Drosophila melanogaster: one gene and its partners. The protein of the gene in region 4 interacts with the protein of the main gene of each other region in a pairwise test. Each region holds a gene or a part of one and is shown on either strand. Other genes may lie near its edges. The genes, in order: Ubc84D, CG15529, CG5355 and ari-2.

What was found.
Region 1: the proteins of ari-2 (region 4) and Ubc84D interact in a two-hybrid assay, tested with the Drosophila melanogaster proteins (one large-scale study listed by BioGRID).
Region 2: the proteins of ari-2 (region 4) and CG15529 interact in a two-hybrid assay, tested with the Drosophila melanogaster proteins (one large-scale study listed by BioGRID).
Region 3: the proteins of ari-2 (region 4) and CG5355 interact in a two-hybrid assay, tested with the Drosophila melanogaster proteins (one large-scale study listed by BioGRID).

Annotation. Positions count from the first base shown.
Region 1 is NT_033777.3:7,518,263-7,521,183, forward strand, and holds Ubc84D (ubiquitin conjugating enzyme 84D), read right to left. Parts: upstream 1,195-2,921; 5' UTR 1,097-1,194; coding exon 635-1,096; 3' UTR 558-634; downstream 1-557. Other genes in the region: alpha-Est7 (alpha-Esterase-7), read right to left, coding at 1,489-1,962, 2,018-2,187, 2,250-2,813, 2,872-2,921. UniProt on the Drosophila melanogaster protein: Catalyzes the covalent attachment of ubiquitin to other proteins.
Region 2 is NT_033777.3:30,150,420-30,154,254, forward strand, and holds CG15529 (uncharacterized protein), read left to right. Parts: upstream 1-1,639; 5' UTR 1,640-1,761; coding exon 1,762-1,975; intron 1,976-2,223; coding exon 2,224-2,600; 3' UTR 2,601-2,669; coding exon of another isoform or gene 2,670-2,800; 3' UTR 2,801-2,861; coding exon of another isoform or gene 2,862-3,186; 3' UTR 3,187-3,280; downstream 3,281-3,835. Other genes in the region: CG11498 (uncharacterized protein), read right to left, coding at 2,670-2,800, 2,862-3,186.
Region 3 is NT_033779.5:10,409,980-10,415,361, reverse strand, and holds CG5355 (uncharacterized protein), read left to right. Parts: upstream 1-1,898; 5' UTR 1,899-1,931; coding exon 1,932-2,037; intron 2,038-2,142; coding exon 2,143-2,738; intron 2,739-2,794; coding exon 2,795-2,937; intron 2,938-2,997; coding exon 2,998-3,157; intron 3,158-3,219; coding exon 3,220-3,339; intron 3,340-3,400; coding exon 3,401-3,481; intron 3,482-3,539; coding exon 3,540-3,931; intron 3,932-3,998; coding exon 3,999-4,271; intron 4,272-4,325; coding exon 4,326-4,725; 3' UTR 4,726-4,825; downstream 4,826-5,382. Other genes in the region: Klp31E (Kinesin-like protein at 31E), read right to left, coding at 1-378, 443-581, 705-760; RpS27A (ribosomal protein S27A), read right to left, coding at 4,972-5,121, 5,311-5,382.
Region 4 is NT_033778.4:22,211,218-22,217,783, reverse strand, and holds ari-2 (ariadne 2), read right to left. Parts: upstream 4,950-6,566; 5' UTR 4,344-4,949; coding exon 4,265-4,343; intron 2,903-4,264; coding exon 1,599-2,902; intron 1,539-1,598; coding exon 1,392-1,538; 3' UTR 520-1,391; downstream 1-519. Other genes in the region: CG30278 (uncharacterized protein), read left to right, coding at 1-266; CG11291 (uncharacterized protein), read right to left, coding at 5,363-5,546, 5,601-6,343.

The DNA of each region.
Region 1 (2,921 bases), on a different chromosome or scaffold from region 4:
CCAAAGTGATGAATGTGGTCAATATTTGATAGCTTATGCGTATATGTGTAACTGTATTAGGTAAATATGATTGCTATAATTACCAATACGATATTGCCAAATGCGGTTGCCTGTTGTTACTGTTAATGATACATTAATGTAATTTGATTAAATTCGTTACTCGTAGACAAAGGGGTATATCAAGTAATAGGTATCAATTATATGTGTACATATATAGGATCAATATCCGAGTGAACTCGGGAACTATAATGGCTAGAAATGGGAAATCAAGCATGCAGATTCTACAGGCGCTGAAGCACAAGTTTTCTTTAGTAGATTGCTAGACACCGGCCACAATCACCGCCAAGTAGCCAAGAGTTGGCTACGATTGTAGCAATAAACCAACAACATGTATTCCACGCTTACCAACGGCCACAATTTTTTTACCTCAATTTTGAAAAATATTTTGAATTTCTTTTTAACTGTACTTTTTTTCTTGCCCATTTTTTTTATCGAATTACCGTCCATTTAATGCGCCATACATATATCTTAGCGAACATTCAAAATATGGACAACTTATGTCTGACAAGTTTTAATTGATGGTCCAAACTATATATAATTTTGATATACAAATAAATGTGAGCTGCGGCTGACTTCACTCTGGTCGCTTCTCCGCATTCTTCTTGGTGAACTCTTCGGCCGTCTTCATGAACTTCTTGTGCTCCCTTACGAACTCCTCGGCCAGGTCAGAACGAAGCGGATGTTCTGGCTCCGGGTTGTGGACGATGGCTACCAGGGCCTGGAGCACCTGCTCTGTGCGCGTTGTGGGCTTCCAGTTGTCTGTGCTGATGATGGGCAGGCACACCTCCCCCTTCTCATCCACGTTGGGGTGATAGATTTTCGTCTTGAATAGGATCTTTGGTGGCATAAAGGGATACTGGGGCGGGAAGTTGATTTCGATGCGGAAGGCGCCCTTGTTGTAGGGCGCCTTTTCCGGAACCAAAAGACCCGTCCACATCAGCAGGGACTCATCGCTACTCTCGATGTTGCGCAGAGTGCTCATCTTGGCCTCAACCAGATCGGAGAGTTCCCGTGTCAGACGACGAGTGGCAGCCATTCTATCAACGGGATCAGAGTTCCTTTCCTTTGTTTTCCCTAGATCTCGGAAAAAAACTTGTTAATTTAAAAAAGTCTAAAAATTTAATTTTCCTATTGCTATTGACAGTAAAGTCAAAAGGGCATGTCGAACATTGTTTTTATATTCAAACTTATTAAGAAGTTATCAAGCATTTAAATAAATGGCGTAAACTGAGGTAAATATAGAGATAAATAGAAATATATATTTTTAAATCTCACCTAAACTAGGATTTCTCATCCACATGCAATCATTGGGCAAACTAGTTATAAAGCAAAACAATCCAATTGCAGAATATATTTTATAAAGCATTTTGACCTATTTACAGTTTCTAGAGACTTCTTTGTTAGGCTGTACAGAACAGTAAGTTAAATTTAAAACAATAAATCTTTGTTGTCGTCATAGAGGCTCTCCCAGACCTTCAATTTGGGCCACTCAGGCAGATCGATGAACTTCAGGTCATCACTGATGTTGAGGCACTTGATGACCTCGTCGGATTTGCGAACTGGATCAATGGTCAGAGTGTCCATACCGTTGATCTTCTCGCTGTAGGGATTACCCGTGGCAGCAAACTGGGTCCAGATGCCCACGGTTCGTTCGATGTTCCTGTACTCGCGACTTTCCTTCGGCAACCGGCGAGCCAGCAGGCTGCTGAATTGGTAGCTCAAATCGTCGGCATGGCTGACCCCCTTGACACCGCGTCCCAACCGCATAATGCGGTACGGAAAAATGAGCTCCTCGGAGTCGAAGTCATATCGATAGAAATATACTGGAGCTCCAGCCGCGTACGCGTGTCGGGAATGGACCACCCTCAGGGCCGGAAACACGAAGTAGTAAATCGAACAGAGCTGAAATAAATTACCAGCTTATGATTATGTAAGCACCTAATTGGACGACACTTACATCCATGTAATTATCTGGGGTGCTTTCTGAGCCAGTGCGATGAACATCTCGAATCTGTGCACTCCACGAATCCAGTTTTTCTTTACTGGGCTCCGTGGCCAGCAATTCTTTGGGAATGAAAGGTGTGCCAGCATCAAGCTGCTGCAGCACCTGCGGCATAAGCTTTACCTCTGTGAAATAAAATTAAATTTACTTATTGAAAGAAAATTCAAAAAAATTCCCAATATCTAACCTGGAACCCACAGCAGGCCCTCGTACGAAGTGTTTCCTATAAACATGGGGATGGAGTTACTCCAGGCGGTCTTCATCATCTCCTTTGGAGGCTTGGATATCACACATTCGGGCGTGGAGAATGGTTCCAGGGATGGGCCAAAGGCAAACATTATCTTGTTCATGCGTTCCTCCAGTGTCAGGACATTTTCCTCCACGCGAATAAGATCCTTGGCCTTTACGTTCTGCAAGAACTCCAGCACATCCTTGTCGTTGTCCTCGCCCTTGTAGCCAACCAGCTTGGCTATCCTGTAGGGATTATGGGTAATGTCGCCGTTGTAGGCCCAAGGACAAATGGCACTGCCCGACTGCAAGATGCCGCGATGAAAGAGCCCTTGGGTCTGATCGGTTAGCATCATGTAGTGAGTGGAGGCGCCTCCAGCACTCTCTCCAAAAACAGTGATGCAGTTGGGATCTCCGCCGAAACTAGCGCAATTGTTCTTGATCCACTTGAGGGCCAGCACCTGATCCTTGAGGCCAGCATTTCCTGGTACATTTAGCTCGGGGGACTTAAGACTCATAAATCCTGTGTAGGTACAATAATGTTTAGTCAAAATATTGCGCATACGCACACAGTAGATTACCCAAAGCCCCAAGTCGGTACTGTATCGTGACGAGAACAACATCTTCTTTC
Region 2 (3,835 bases), on a different chromosome or scaffold from region 4:
GATGTTTGCCTTCTGTCTAGCGAATAGTCACTGCTTTAGATGTGCAAACAAAATCGCGATGCTTGCTGCAGCCAATCCGGCGTATACGTAATGAACTGAGCAGCACTCTTTTTGCCCGGATCTGTAAGTTTTAGAACCATATCTATGGGTCCACGTGCTGGCAATTTGCACGCCCATTTTGGGTTTTACAAGGAGATTTGAATGCAATCGATTCGGAGCGTAGTCAGCTCGCACAATTTATGACCGCACTTTAATTGCTTTTGAATTTTAAGAAATATTTAAATTGTGCGAGAGACAGGGAAGTGCGAGTGACAGAGACAGCGGGAGAGCTTCACCACAGCCGTTGGTAAGCTTACGGTAAAACTTCGAAAGGTTTGTGTCTCAGCTAATGCTTAACGCTTTAAATGATTATTTAATCTTTAACATGGATAATTTCCTTGTAAAAATAAAACGATTATTTTGGATGGAAAATGAGAAAAACTAGTTGATCAAAATAATCCATGTTTCCAAGTGGTTTTTTCAATATTTCTTGACTGAAAATGGTCGTAAAGTAAAAATAATTACTGTTTTGTGCAGCTAATTACCAATGCTTACGATCCCTGTCCCGTTTTTTCGAATTAAGAAAAAAAAATTTTTTTGTCAATTTTCGAATTTTTATAAGGGGTAACATCATCAAATTTTGCAAAAAATCGCAAAAATTTAAAGTTTCCAAATTTGAACACTAATCGATTGGGAAGTTAATTAGGAGTAAAATAAGATATGCCACTCCACTTTTGAACCATTATTTTCAAAGTTGTGTCCAAAAAACGCATTATTTTTTAACCAAAAACAGGGAAATCGAGCTTGGACCAAAAAGTCATATTTACAATTTATAGGATTTATAATTATAGAATTTTTTGAATGCCTATCAAATGGGACTTAACCAGCACTATCAACAGCTCATTAATAAAAACAACAGATCAGCAAAACAAACTCAGTTCTCAAACTTTTTAGCAGAGCGGGCAAACGGCTCAGATCCATATGTTGGCCACTCGTATCCATTCGGTCTCGGTTATGTAGAGCCGCAGAAATGCGATATGGGGAACCCCTCCCCACCAAAAATTGCAGGCACATTCAATGAATTCCACAGTCAGTCGGAAAAATGGTGGGGGGGGGGGGTATGGAAAATGCATGGGTGCTAAACGTTTAATAATTGTCGTTGCCCACATGTACACTGCAAAGAATTGTACACTCAAAAATAATCCTATTTTCGTTATGTACGTTTAAACTGCGTTCTTTCAGTGGATCTCTCTATATATAAAGACATTACAGATAATTAAATTGTGAGATATTAAGCACAGAAAGGTTGACTGCATTTCTCATTGTGTATAAGAACAGAGAGCTGATCTCCCCACTGCACTCGGAGTATCCAGTTACTCGCCGGGCTTCAAACTATCCGAGTTCCCGCGTTCTTGCCAATGTGAATTTTGTTTACCAGCCATATCCATATCTTATTTAAATATGAACATTTCTGCCGCCCCACAACCGAGCAGTAGACACATTTTAATTAATAAGCACTGCCAGACGAGACGGCTTCTGTTCTCGGGCTCTGAATTCTGGGTTCTGGTTCTGGTTCCTCGTCTGGTTCTGGTCACAAAGTAGTCAGTCTTCAGCGCAGCTCGATAGCGAAAGATGTTTGCCGGGAGCGGCGGTCTCAGTGCCACCGATCCATCTAATCCAAGGTCGCGGGAATAGGACTGCTCTACTGTGTCGTTTGGCGCCATGTGCTGCTGGTGTGCACGTGTCTACTGGACGGTTCTGCACAATCTCCTGGCTCGCATGATGGACAGCCTGATGGAAGTCAGATCGCCCACCTTCTGTAGCTGCTGCTTCGGTTATCAGCGGCAGGCCAGTCAGGAAGGTGACGTCGCAGAACGGGTTTCCAGCACCGACGACGATCCACAACAGCAGCCCCGTGAGGATTACGTCATTGTGGGTGAGTACGCATCGATCTCTCGGTTTCAAAACAAAGCCAAATCCCCAGAGTGACGGCATATAAACCAAAACAGAAAGCACGATACAGTTCGTAGAGCTAAATTTAACTCGAATTTAAGTTTAAATGATCGAAATTTGATAAATAATAGATAACTACAGAGGCATAAATTAATGTAGAGTAATACTCAATTAGAAGATTAAGCGGTAAATAGGTCCAATTACTAATACAACATTTTTAATTCCGCAAAGACGATGCCGATGTCAACTACGCGGAGATTGAGGAGAGGCATGTGGAAAAGGAGCAGTACTACTTCACAGTGGATCGTCCTACGGCGGAGCGAATGCTCCATGGACGAGAGGACGGGTCCTGCCTGGTTCGACCTTTCAAGGCAGCCGACCAGTGGATCCGTTACATAGTGAGCATCTGGGCGGCGGATCAGTACTATCACCTGTTCATAAGGCAAGTGGATAGGAGACAACGCTATGCCATTGGTCAGAAGAAGTCTCAGGAGCGCTGCTTCGGATCCCCCTCGGAAATCGTGGAGTTCTACACGGAGCATCCACTTCTCTGCACCAACAAGGTCCGGAGCCAGTGCGTCCAACTCCGTCCCATCAGTTACGCTTAGCTAGGGGTCAAATCTTTATTGCATAAGAGAGGGCAAGTATGTACAAATGGGGTTAGCTTAAGACGATGCTCAGGTGGCCACCACCGCCTTGAAGGCGCACTGGTTGTTCTGCATCAGGGCGGGCCAGAGGAAGGCTTTTATCAGATCCGATCGCCGGTCCGCCTGGGGATGCCGCTCGTGTTTCTCGGGCCTCAGGAAACCTGCATGGGATTTACGTAGGTGTAAGATTGTTAAACGATTAAAGAGTAGCTTAAAACCCACCCAGGTTGAAGTCCATGTCCAGGTAGTACGGCGCCTTCTGGTTGATCATCCTCCAGGCCAGTCGGACACAGGCACTGACGTAGTGCGTCAACGGGGGGCAGGACTCCAGGCAGGGGTACTCGTGCAGAGTAGATAGCACCTGGTTGAACACCGACCGCTCGATCTCGCCCAACGGGAAACTCTCGGCGGTCTCGAAGAGGTGCTGGCGAACGGATCTGTCCAGGGACAAGGTGGTCTCACTGCTGCTGTCCAAGGGGCAATTCAGGACTCGCCGAACTTCCAGGACCTTTCGCTCCCGCATTCCGTGGCACAGGCGGAAGGAGAGCTACACAAGTACCAATAAGTTAAGAAAATTATCAATTAGATGACTATCTAATTAGACTTACTTATGAATGAATAAATAGTTTTTCGAAAATCATAAATATGTGACTTATTATTATCAACTAATCTTGATGGTACCATTTCCCTGCAAAAGTGTCGTTCATCTGAGATCGAAAGTGATTCAAATCCCAAGCGCCTACGTAATTTTCTGACACCCTGGGGGCTCCACTTTCCCTCACATTTTCACTGCACCAACGCCTAATCATCCTCTAGTGCGAATTCGATCTTGCAAAATTGATATTTTGCAATCGCAGTTTGTGGTCCGACAGGATTTAAAGCATCCAGAGCCCACGGGCTTGGCTGGAAATAATTGATGGCCAAGCACTTGAAAATTGAAAGTAATCTTCGCTGGATGAATTGGTCTCACAGTTTGAGAGTCATTGTGCTGTGCTAAATTTCCAAACGAAAGCAGTGCAAGCAGTTCGTACGCTGAGCTACTTCAAGATCAAGTTTATCAGCTTTTGACCTGCCAAATGCCAATTGGAAGAGTTCGTCCCAATTTTAAAACAATCGCTATTTTTTCACTTTTGACAAGGGCTTTATTCTATTTGAATAGCCTTAAGAATTGTATAGAAAAATATCTATTAGCATTG
Region 3 (5,382 bases), on a different chromosome or scaffold from region 4:
TATTGTGATTTGTCCACTGGCATCTTCGTGTATCTTAAAGTTGCTGTTCTTGTTGAACGGGTCCAGCAGATCGAAGATGTCCTCGTTGTACAATTCGATGTACTGAACAGCCAAACTGAACTGCGGACTTCCACCAGCCGCTGGATGTTCTGAAGTGCTGGATCCCTCCAGTTGTTCGATACCACTGAATATATGACGAACAGCCCGTGGAATAATGCCAAGCTGAACGGAATCGGATGACTCCGACTCGTGGTCGAAACCAGTGCCCATTGTATACGTTTTTCCCGATCCTGTTTGCCCGTAGGCGAGTACGGTGGCATTATAGCCATGGAGGGTACTATCTACTAATTTTTCCACGCAGTCCGAGTATATATCACACTGAAATGGTTAATAAAGGCTAATGAAACTTAAGACAAGGTGGAAATTAGTATGACAACTTTACCTGATTGGAATTGGTATCAAAAACATAGTCGAACGTAAAGGCTTTGTCAGATCCAAGAAAAATCTGAGGCTCTCCAAGAGTGACGGTCGTGCAGATACGACACATATCTATTAGCTCCCTCGAGTTTTGAGGTCGGATTCTGAAAAAATATACAATATTATATGCTTTTAGGCGCACTTAACAGATATTCAAATTTAAACTTTTAGAATTTCAAGCTCTTTTATGGTCATAGTTATTGTTTTTTGAATTGTAATAATCTTACCTGACAGCAACACGTACTGAACTATCCTTATTTATGGAGTCCACTTCGGAAATCATATTGCAATCTGAAAACAATTAATGTGAATTAAATTAAATTCGCAATATATTTAACACCCGGATATTATCTAGAAGGCCGTGCTTAAGTCATACACCTTATGAAATACTCAACAAAATATTTAGTTACAAGGTCACTTCTAACAAAATTGTTAACTCAGCGAAAATAAATAGATGTCATAGGAAACCCGTAGAAAATCGCCCATTGTTATGAACTAATACTACTAATCCAACTGCACTGTATAAAACTGAATAAGTTCTGTATTACCTTTTAGATCAACATAATAACTAGTTAGCTAAGTTAATACATTCAAAATGTTTGTTTATGCATACAAGCTTAGGTACATCCATATGCGCCTACAAGTTGCTGATCAAGAAAAACATACATATGGAAGGAAAATTTGTGAAAACTTCGATTTCCCAGCACAATTGATGTACGAAAAGTTCAAGCAAAGCTACATACCGAACAAATAAAGCGCTTACTGGTGGCTAACAAATTAAACGAACTAAAAACAGCGCGGAATTCCAATTCAATTCATTTACTCGGTCCGTTTGACTTGATTCGATTGTGTTTATATTCCGACTCGACTCGCCTCCCGATACCAAAACATATGGTTTAACAGAGGTAATCTGTTCACGGACCGATTAATTTCGAGCCACAGTTGGCTGTGTCACACCTGACATTTGCGGTATTTTATTGGGGGTGCTCTTGCATGAATTTCTAAAACTAAAGCAATGGTATTTTCTATACGTGTGCGGTATATTTTCAAGAATAAAGCTACTACCTTGGTGCAGCATTTCGTACCGACTAAAGGAACTTGGTTTATATTGCTTCACCAGTTGTTATTGTATTTTATAGTTAAATTAAACAGTGGTTTTAAGATTTAATCAAGATTGATTTCAACACGAATACGTAAATAAAAGCTAACAGTTGCTAAGTTTACCTATATATTAAAATGTTTTTCAAAATCTGTCATAGCATCTCGTTTTGAGCATTCAAATATTTAAATAAATAATAATATAATATGTAAAATTACAAGAGAAATTTCTTTTTAAATTAGTTATAAGGAGGCGGCGATATATAGTTCGCAGTAGCAAAATTTAAGGAGTGCCCCTAACACCTATCGAAACTATCGCAAGTTAGTGTCCCATTTTTGCATTGATAATTTTGCAAATGCATACCATTTTTCGAGGACCGCTGCTCTACCGCCGAATTTGTCAAATAGTTGTACCCAAAACGCTGCCCAGAAATTACATTCATCGAGAATTGCCTTCAAATCGTAAGTATACACATATATATATATAGCTAATGGGGATGAGTTGCAAAAGCCGAAAAGCGAAAGATTAATACATATATTCTCATACGTGTAATAAATCCAACAAAGTTACCAGAGCCATGCCAAGTACTTTGTCCGCTAAGCTCGCGTATCCAGTTGCTCGGAAGGATGAAAGCGTGGCAGAGGACTTTCATGGCACCCAGATCAAGGATGTGTACCGCTGGCTCGAAGATCCGGACTCCACGGAAACCGAGGAATTCGTGAATGCCCAGAACAGCATAAGCCGGCCTTTCCTCGAGAATGGAGAGGAGTGGAAGAAACTGAACACGAAGCTTACCAAGCTGTGGAACTATCCCAAATACGGATGTCCCATGCGTTATGGCAACTATTACTATTACTTTATGAACACTGGCCTGCAAAACCAGAGCGTCATGTACCAGCAGAAATCGCTGGGCGACGAGAGTGAAAGCAAGGTGTTCCTGGATCCGAACACCCTGTCCGAGGACGGTACCATCGCCCTGACTCAGAAGGCCTTCTCCGAGGATGGCAAGTACATGGCCTACGGCCTGAGTGAAAGTGGATCCGATTGGATCAAGATTCTCATTCGAGATGCCGAAACGGGCAAGGATCTGAGCGAGGTCCTTGAAAAGGTCAAGTTCTCGGAGATTTCGTGGACAAAAGACAATAAGGGATTCTTTTATGGTGTGAGTACTGGACTCTTTCGTCCTGGTAATTCAAATTCAAGTCGTTTATTTCTTAGAGATACCCTGACCAAGATGGAAAAACCGATGGATCTGAGACCAAACAGAATGAGAATCAAAAGTTGTACTATCACCGGGTGGGTGAGAGCCAGGATAAAGACACACTGGTGGTCGAATTTCCGGAAGAGCCTTCGTGGCGCATGTAATGATCTTAAATTGTATGGTGTTGAAACATAGATTATAATCAATTTTCCAACTTTAGCCAATCCACCGTCTCGGATTGTGGAAAATACCTGATTCTGGCCATTGTTAAAGATTGCCGTGACAACATTGTGTTCTATGCTGATCTTACGCCAGGTGCGGAAATAACTTCCAAACTGAATGTCAAGAAAATTGTGGAAAAATTCGAGGCGGACTACGATGTATGTAATGTTTTCACAGTCTTTAAAATAGTAATGTATACATGTTTATATCATTATTTCAGTACATTACCAATGAAGGCTCGAAGATATTCTTCCGTACAAATAAGAATGCACCAAATTACCAAGTTATTGCCATAGACTTCAATAATTCAGCGGAGGACAAATGGGAAACGCTTATAGCCGTAGGTTTAGTTTGTTTTTAAACGTAGATAAGATTAATCACGACTACTATACGTTTTATAGGAGCACAAGTCGGATGTTTTGGACTGGGTTAAGTGCGTTGATAATGATAAACTGCTCGTTTGTTACATCAGGGATGTGAAGGTAAATAATAACCTATTAGTCATTCATCTATATGCCTCATTCCATATTCGTTCTTCAGAGCGTTTTGCAAGTGAATTCCCTAAAGGATGGCACCCTACTGCGCGAATTCGACTTGGATATCGGCACCATTGTAGGCACATCGGGAGAGAAGAAATATTCTGAAATATTCTACAACTTCTCGTCCTTTTTGAATCCCGGCTCCATTTATCGATATGATTTCAAGACACCTGACAAGTCGCCATCAGTATTCCGCGAAATCAAACTGAATTTGGAAGGATTCCGTCGCGAGGATTACGCCGTTGAGCAGATATTCTACAAGAGCAAGGATGGCACCAAGGTTCCCATGTTCATAATTAGGAAAAAACGTGATAGTGTTGAGCCGCGACCATGTCTGCTTTACGGATACGGAGGCTTCAACATCAGCATGCTGCCTTCCTTCGGACTCTCTGGGTATGTTGAGAAATACTTTTTAAAAGTTAGCATGTATATATGTGAACACATCCTTCAATCTCTGCAGGCTTATGTTCATCGACACATTCGATGGTGTGCTCGCCTATCCGAATCTGCGAGGTGGTGGCGAATATGGCGAGAAGTGGCACAACGGCGGTCGCCTGCTGAACAAGCAGAACGTGTTCGATGACTTCCAAGCAGCTGCCGAGTACTTGATCGAGAATAAGTACACGACCAAGGATCGTTTGGCCATCCAAGGTGGCTCCAACGGAGGCCTTTTGGTCGGCTCGTGTATCAACCAACGTCCGGATTTGTTTGGAGCTGCTGTGGCTCAAGTTGGGTAAGTAGATAGCCTGTTTGTTGTGACCAAGTGAGAAATATATTGATTTCATAGTGTCATGGATATGTTGCGCTTCCACAAGTTCACCATTGGCCACGCTTGGTGCTCGGATTATGGAAACCCATCGGAGAAGGAGCACTTTGACAACCTGTACAAGTTCTCGCCGCTGCATAATGTGCACACTCCGAAGGGCGCCGAAACGGAATACCCATCGACTTTGATCCTGACCGCCGACCACGACGATCGTGTCAGCCCTTTGCATTCGCTCAAGTTCATTGCGGCCCTCCAGGAAGCTGTTCGCGACTCGGAATTCCAGAAAAATCCCGTTCTGTTGCGCGTCTACCAGAAGGCGGGCCATGGCGCTGGCAAGCCGACATCGAAGAGAATCGAGGAAGCCACCGATATACTGACTTTCTTGTCCAAAAGCCTTAACGTCGACATAGTTAACGTTTGAGTGGTTAACCATAAACAAATTGCATTTCTCAAGGTCGAGTAAAAATCGAGTATACAAAATGTATTCAATATTTTCACAAATAAACCATACACCCTAAATGAAACTTTAGTGTTTTGCTAAACAATTACTAACCACGCTAGTGCTAACTAACAATAAAAAAAAAGGAAAATTTCAGCGATTGAATTTATTATTCAATTACTACCTTTATTTGATTTCTGGAAACGTACATGATCTTATGTAGCAAAATTACTTTTCCTCTGGTTTGCTGAAGACAAAGGTCAGGTTGCACTTGCCGCAGTAGTGACGATCTTCGTGGGCAGCCATGAAGACGCCGGCGCCGCAGTTCTCACCAGGGCACTCGCGACGGAGACGGTGGATCTTGCCGTTCTCGTCAACCTATGGAAAGGAAAGAGCATAGAAAGTGATTAAATACTGAGATCGTACACATGTTCATTCAATATAGGGCACTGGTAAAGTCACTCTGATATCCAAATCTTAAGCCAATGAGCACAAGACCAAGACTCAAGAATTCCAAGAACAGATCAGAATGTTTTCGGTATGGTGTCGGTAGATTGTTGTGTGTACCTTGTAGTATTTCAGGACAGCTAGCTTGACCTTCTTCCTCTTGTGCTTGATTTTCTTGGGAGTGGAGTAGTT
Region 4 (6,566 bases):
AGGTCTATCCCGCCAAGAAAGTGGAAAATATGAACAACGTGAGGGTGACCAAGATATCGGGAGTCAAGAAGTTCGCCAACAGTCTGCTGAAGGAGCATTCCGAGTGCCGGTTGTTCACCTTAGCCAGCCAACTTGCGAAGCAGAAACCACCTTTGGCGCCTGATGTTAGGATGAGTCGGATGAGCAGGAAGAGCCGGAAGAGCCGAAAGAGCCGGAAGAGCAGCAGAAAGAGTTCACTGTTCGGCAATAAAAAGGGTAAAAAATAATAGCAAAAACATCATCGAAGACTAACTAAGCACATCCAATCTGAATAACAACGAAATCAAGGAAGATAAGTTGGAATATAGCTCGTACTCAATCACTAAAAAAAATAAACTCGGCTCAAAACCCAAACTTGAAACTTGAGTGAAAGCTTATCCTTAAAACACTCAATCCAAGCTTCGTATGAGCTTCTCCAAAGCTTTAAGCACAAGACCCAAATCGTAAGCTTGCAGCCCACAGTCGAAAAGTCAGTTGAATAGTTGTATATCTAGTGTAAATTTAATTCAAATTCAGTCGCATAAGCATACATACATAGCGTAATCCTAGAATATAATTTATGATTCAGCTTACAAAGTTAATCGAGAATCGAGTGAGAATCAAAAGGAACGGGATCGGGGACGGGGAGTATCTATCTTCGTTCTTACTTAAGACTTTTGCGTTCGATTGATGTGCTGCGATTAGTTACGAGATACAGATTGCGAATACTTGATGCTGTTCACGCGGGGCTAATACAAGGTTTAAAACTTAGGGTCTAACCGATGAGCCGATCTGCTTAGGCGGTCTTTGATCTATAATTGCTTGACTTGCGGCGCTATACATTTAGAATTGTTACTGTTTCTGCATTTCATCGGGTCGTTTGGGCTAGTTTTTGGAAAACTGTTGGAACACTTGGCCACTGAAATGCGTCTGGTTTGTCAGTTAGTCAGTTGCTAGATTTAAAGTTAGTTTTATAGTTATGGTATAGCTACCGGTATCGGTATCGCTAGGGCTTTAGCTATAGATACTGTATATCGTTAACGTTCTGCGCAAGGCGTTGTATTGCAGTTACACCGATCATTTTGAGTGATTTCGAATGTCACAACTATAGTAATTATACTTCGAGTAGTCGACTATGCTCTATGCTACGTTTTCTAGTCTATATGCACTTGATTATTAGTTTAATTTAAAAATTAGCTACACGTCGTTGGGCCTACTACTAGATGGATACATGTAAATATGTGTATAATTTAATTTAAATAAGCGTCTCTATACTGTCGCGTCACGTCGACCTGTCAGCAGTCAATCAAAGAGTGTTTGTGCTAAACAAGACAGGCTGTCCGTTCTGGTGGCCCTGGAAGCTCGACGGTTGCCTATGCGTCCACTGGGAAGAAGTCTTTCAGTAGCGTGGTGCGGCGCTTTTCAGCGATGTCCATTTGATTCTCGAGATCACCCAGGTCCGTTGTCTCGGCGCGCTCTATCTTCCACGACAGATTCTCGATTTCGGCCTCCAGTTGTGCCTGCACGGAATTAATACATTATTGGGCAACCAGTTAAAGAATAGCCGAACTGCGACTCACCTGCTGGTACTCAAAGAGATTCTTTCGCGAACCGGCCTCCATGTAATAGGCGTACGGATAGGTGTACTGCAGCGTGTATCGACACTTGGCCAGCAGTGCCGCCGCGTTGAAGAGGTATTGCCAGTCGATCCAGGTGCCGCTGCCGTTCATCACCTTCGAGTTGATCCGCTGGCGCAGCCGGTCGATCGTCTGTTGCTCGAGTTTCAGAGACTTGGAGTGGTTCTCCCAGCGCTCGTAGTAGTGCAGGTACTTCTTCAGCGCCTCGCGCGCCTGCACGTGCACCGACTCGTTGGCAATGTTGGGGTTGTCCTTGTAGCGAGAGCACTCGTAGTACTCGGAGCCGTGCGTCTTCCAGTCGCCCAAGCACATCCAGCAGAAGTCGTGCTTGCAGTTGAAGCACTGCATGTGGTTGCAGCCGCCGTTCTTCTCAATGCAGATGTGACACTTGGGGCAGTCTTTGGTGTGGGCGCTGATGTAGTTTGCCGTTTCGCTGTCGTCGGCGCACTTGGTCAGCCACTTCTTGATCACCTGGCAGTCGGTGGGTGCGTGGTAGTCCATGCCGCACCGGAAGCAGAAGCCCGTGTGGCAAGCCTTGCAAATGGCACGTTTGGCGGAGATCTCCGATGATTGCACAATAATCTGGCAGTTGGGCCCGGGACAGAAGCGGAGTTCCGGGTGTGACTTGACGTAGTCCTTAAATGCAAACTGCTGGTACTTGTCCCGCATAACGGGTCGCGTGACCAGCGTCAGCACCAAGTCCTCGGGCACCCTAACATTACACATCTGGGCCATGCAGCCGATCTGCGTGGAGATTCCCTGGAAGATCTGCGTCTCGAAGTATATGGTCCAGCAGTCCTTGCAAAACGAGTGCCCACACGCCAGGCTGTAGAACTTGTCGCCCAGCTGCGAGCTGGCACAAACGGGACACATCTGGCTGCGGTACTGTGGTGTCGCCGATGCCGTCGTCTTGTACCCGCTGCTCCCCAGTCGGAGCAGTTGGGCACTGGCCGCCGCTGCACTCGTCGAAGCCGTATCCGTCACTGCCACCGATGGCGGCTTGATTCGCGCCGTCACCAGCAGTGCATTGGCGTCCTGGCGGTACTTTTCAACGACGGCCACATTGTTCCACTGGTGCTCCAGCAGCAGCACCTTGGCCAGCGAGGGTGTGATCTGCAGGATGGTGTTCAGCTTCTCCACGCGCTCGTTCAGCAGCTTCTCGATGTCCTCGACGGTTAGGCACTCGTACTCAAAGTACTCCGGGTCGGCCCGCTTCGGATCCAGACGCTCCACATCGCAGTCCTCGCCTGAAGAAGAAAAGGATATTAGTATTATAATATAATTGAACTTTATAACATTTATAAATCATAAATCTATTATGCTTTGATAGGACAGTTTCCACTTTTTCTTTTGGTTATTTAAGCTAACTGATTGTATTTTAAACCAAAATCAGACTGAAAGACAGCAAGGGTGGATTTCAAACGAACCCTGAGTTAGCAGTTGCAGTTATATACAATAGGGCACTTTTAATCCCTTATTGTACAAAACTGGTTCCAGAGTTACGAAGGTTGAGTTGAGTTTGTAAGTTAAGCAATGGCTGACTTACATTGATCGGTTGAAACCGACGAAACATTATTACTTTGGGAATATCTTCTATGTTAATCTGACATGTATGGATCAAAAGGGATTACAGTGTATGCAGCCGGTAATCATGTTTGCATTTTGTTAGTCACATTGGCTAATTCGAGAAAACAACCGCGCGACAAGGCTGCCATAGAAGTGCTCGACGTTACGATGTTACCGATATGAGGTATCCGATTGAAGGTTGAGTTAGGGGGCGTCTTGGCCAGGTCGGAACAATAAGGGACAGGTCAAGAAGCGGAGACCGAGTTGACGGAACAGCGGCACACAACAGAATGCAACTGCGTACTTGAGCACGCACCTGAGCTGGTGTTCGTGGTGTGTGTGTTAATGTGTGCTTGTGTGGGTTGTGGAGCTACGAAGAGCGTGAGCAGAGTGGCGGGCAATAATGAAGCCAGCCACAAAACACAAGCCTCGCAATCAGTCCCAACTCGCAACTACCAATTGTACTTGCCCATGCACTGAGAGAAATCAAGTCTTTAGTAATATTCTTATATTATTTTGCCCCTTTTAAATCAATATTGATTTGAGTTCATGTTATAAAACCATTTGAAAATCAAGCCCTATCACATAATTCTCTAAATTGAGGTATCAAATCATCATTAGAATTGCTTTGGGAAATGTACCAAATGTAATCATTTAGTTTGGCCTAGATTTGACATTTTAAAACTAAACATTTATCCTATTACACAGTGCAATTTTCTCGCCGTGCAGCTACGTGCGTGTGTGTTTGTTTCAAGTTCAATTCCATAATTTAAGCTTCATGGTCAGCGAAGAAGGGCGGAGATCAAATGGGGGGTGTGGGGTTTGGTCATGGAACCCAAGGCGAATGTCAAGTGCTGAATGCAAATTCCCAGGTCTTGCGGGCCTCCTTCCGAAAAGGTGAATAACCAAACCAAGAGCCCGACATGTGTGTGTGTACTTCCTCACAGATACACTCGTACCCCTAATTTGGCCACAGTTAAATCGATGGCCGATTGTTGTCAGGGGGAAGTGCCCCTCTAGATCAGGTACTAGTTTCCACTTACCTGTGTTGTAGTAGTCGTAGTCGTCGTCGTACTCCCCGTCGTTGTCCGATTCCATATCCATTTCGATGTCCGAGTCCATTCCGGCGGATTGGCGCTTAAGATTTGGGCCTCAGATTCGGGATGTTTGGTTGGGAATTCGAGTTTCTGGCGAGGACACTCACTGCTTCCGTGTGAGTGTGAGTGCGGGGTGTCTTCTCTCTTGCTCTTTTGTAACAGTTGTTGTAAGGGCGCTGGTGGTTGCTGTTGTTGTTTTCGCAGGAGGTGGATGATGGACCCAGAGAGCGGGAGGGGCGGTGGATGCGGATAATGGAAAGTGGCCGATTTAGCGCGATGCAGTGCCACCGATTCTGGTTAGGGTGATGAACTTTGCGGGGTGGCTATTCTACGGCGGGGGGCGGTCCCTTGTTTTATTTTCGTTTATCAACATGCATGTGTACACACACACACGAGCGCACTCTCGCTCTCACGCACACACACTCGCACAGCCGTTGCACTCAACTCAAGGTGTTTTTTCTACTTCGCCTGCAGTTTATTTTCATTTTTCGCTATTTATAGAACAATCTTATGCACCACTGACAATGCACTAGATGCACTGACTTTTTGCGTTTTTAAGCGAGCACAGCTTTTGCAGAGAACATTTTGTTCTTTGTCTTGTCCGAACCTATCGGGGCATATCGTTCTTCGATAGTTCGATGTTTTATTACTCTTCTTCTTTCAGTGCGACCACGAAGCAATCAAATCAAATACCAAAAATATACCAACAACATGTATTTTTTTATTATCACATTAATTCAACTTTTTCTTCGCGATTATTGATGCAAAACTATTAGTTTCAACAGAAAACTGGCAATTTGCTTTACTATTTTAGATTACAAATTTTAAAACTAAAAATTTACAAATATACTGGTAGCACTGACTCGCGACTTGTGCTAAAAGCCAAAATACCGAAATCATTTAGCACACAGGAGTGCTCAGAAACAAAACAGCTGTTCAGCTTTTGAGCGGCTTAGTTTGAATTTTGAATATGATCTAAATTACTTTTTGGTCAGCTGGGTATGTTTTTTGGATATGGAAATCGCTTTTCTTGCCCGACATCACCTAGATGCATAAATACTCCCCAAAAGAAGCAAGACCGGAGAGAAAAGCATCTGGAACAAGTTTCATTTTCTTCTCATCTCCCTCTTTTTTAATTTTCTCGGCTTTTTCGATCGCTCCGTTATCGCAGCCCACCAATAATGATTGGAAACCACATATACTTGCAAATAAAATGTCTGATTTAAGCCTAAAGGAAAGAGGATAAAGTATGATCCTCAATAAAAGTAATCATTGAACTTACGAGTTTCCAATGACAAGCGTCTTTTCGGGCTTTATTTCGCCAGACTTCATCAACTTGCCCAAAATCCGCTGATTCGGTTTGCCCAAAACGATAGGCTTGCGTTGTACAATTATCTCGATGGCAGAGGCCAGAGATCCGGCATCTGGGATCCTCTTTTTCCCAAATGGCTGGAATCCATCAATGCAAGTGGTAAGGAACAAGACTTTGGGATTTTGAAGATAGTTGCAGGCCACAAGCAACTCGTTCGCTATCATGTTGTCGTCTCTGGCCACCAAAACAGCTCCCACATCCGGATCGAGAACTAAGCTCCTGACGAAGTCGATTTTTTTCTGGTCATTTGGCTGCAGATCGTTTACCACGGAACAGAATCCGGCCTCTTTCAGATCTTTGCGGATACCGTCACCACCCAAAACGAGGATTTTCTTCTTAAACTTCCGGTCGCTAAGGTAACTCGCAATGGCACCCGACGAGCTGAAAATGTCCTGCTCCTTGACATTGAAGCCCAGGCACTTGGCCTTCTGGAACAGATCCTTGTTTGTTAGGCAGCACTCGTTGGTGGCTATGAGACATCGCTTTCCCTTTGAAATTATGGCATTGAATGCCTCTACAGAGCCCTCAATGGGGGTATTCTCCTGCCACAGCACCCCATCCGTGCTGCAAATAATGGTGTCGATCCCGGCCAGCCATTCGGCCACCTTTGCCTTCGGCAGCTTGTCCAGATGGCTTAGACTGCGCCTTAACATAATACAATTTTGATTAAATTTAGAATGTGAAATATTAAAATTTTGAGTACTTTATGACATTATTTTCAAAGATTAAAAATTTCATATTGCCATATAAGAGTATCATAAAATAGCAAGGAATACGAAAAAGTTTATTTGGCAAAAGTAAAGTGATACTATATAAAAATGTTTTCTTTCTAATAAAATCTTCGGCCACGAGATGCTGTCGAAAATACCACCCAGA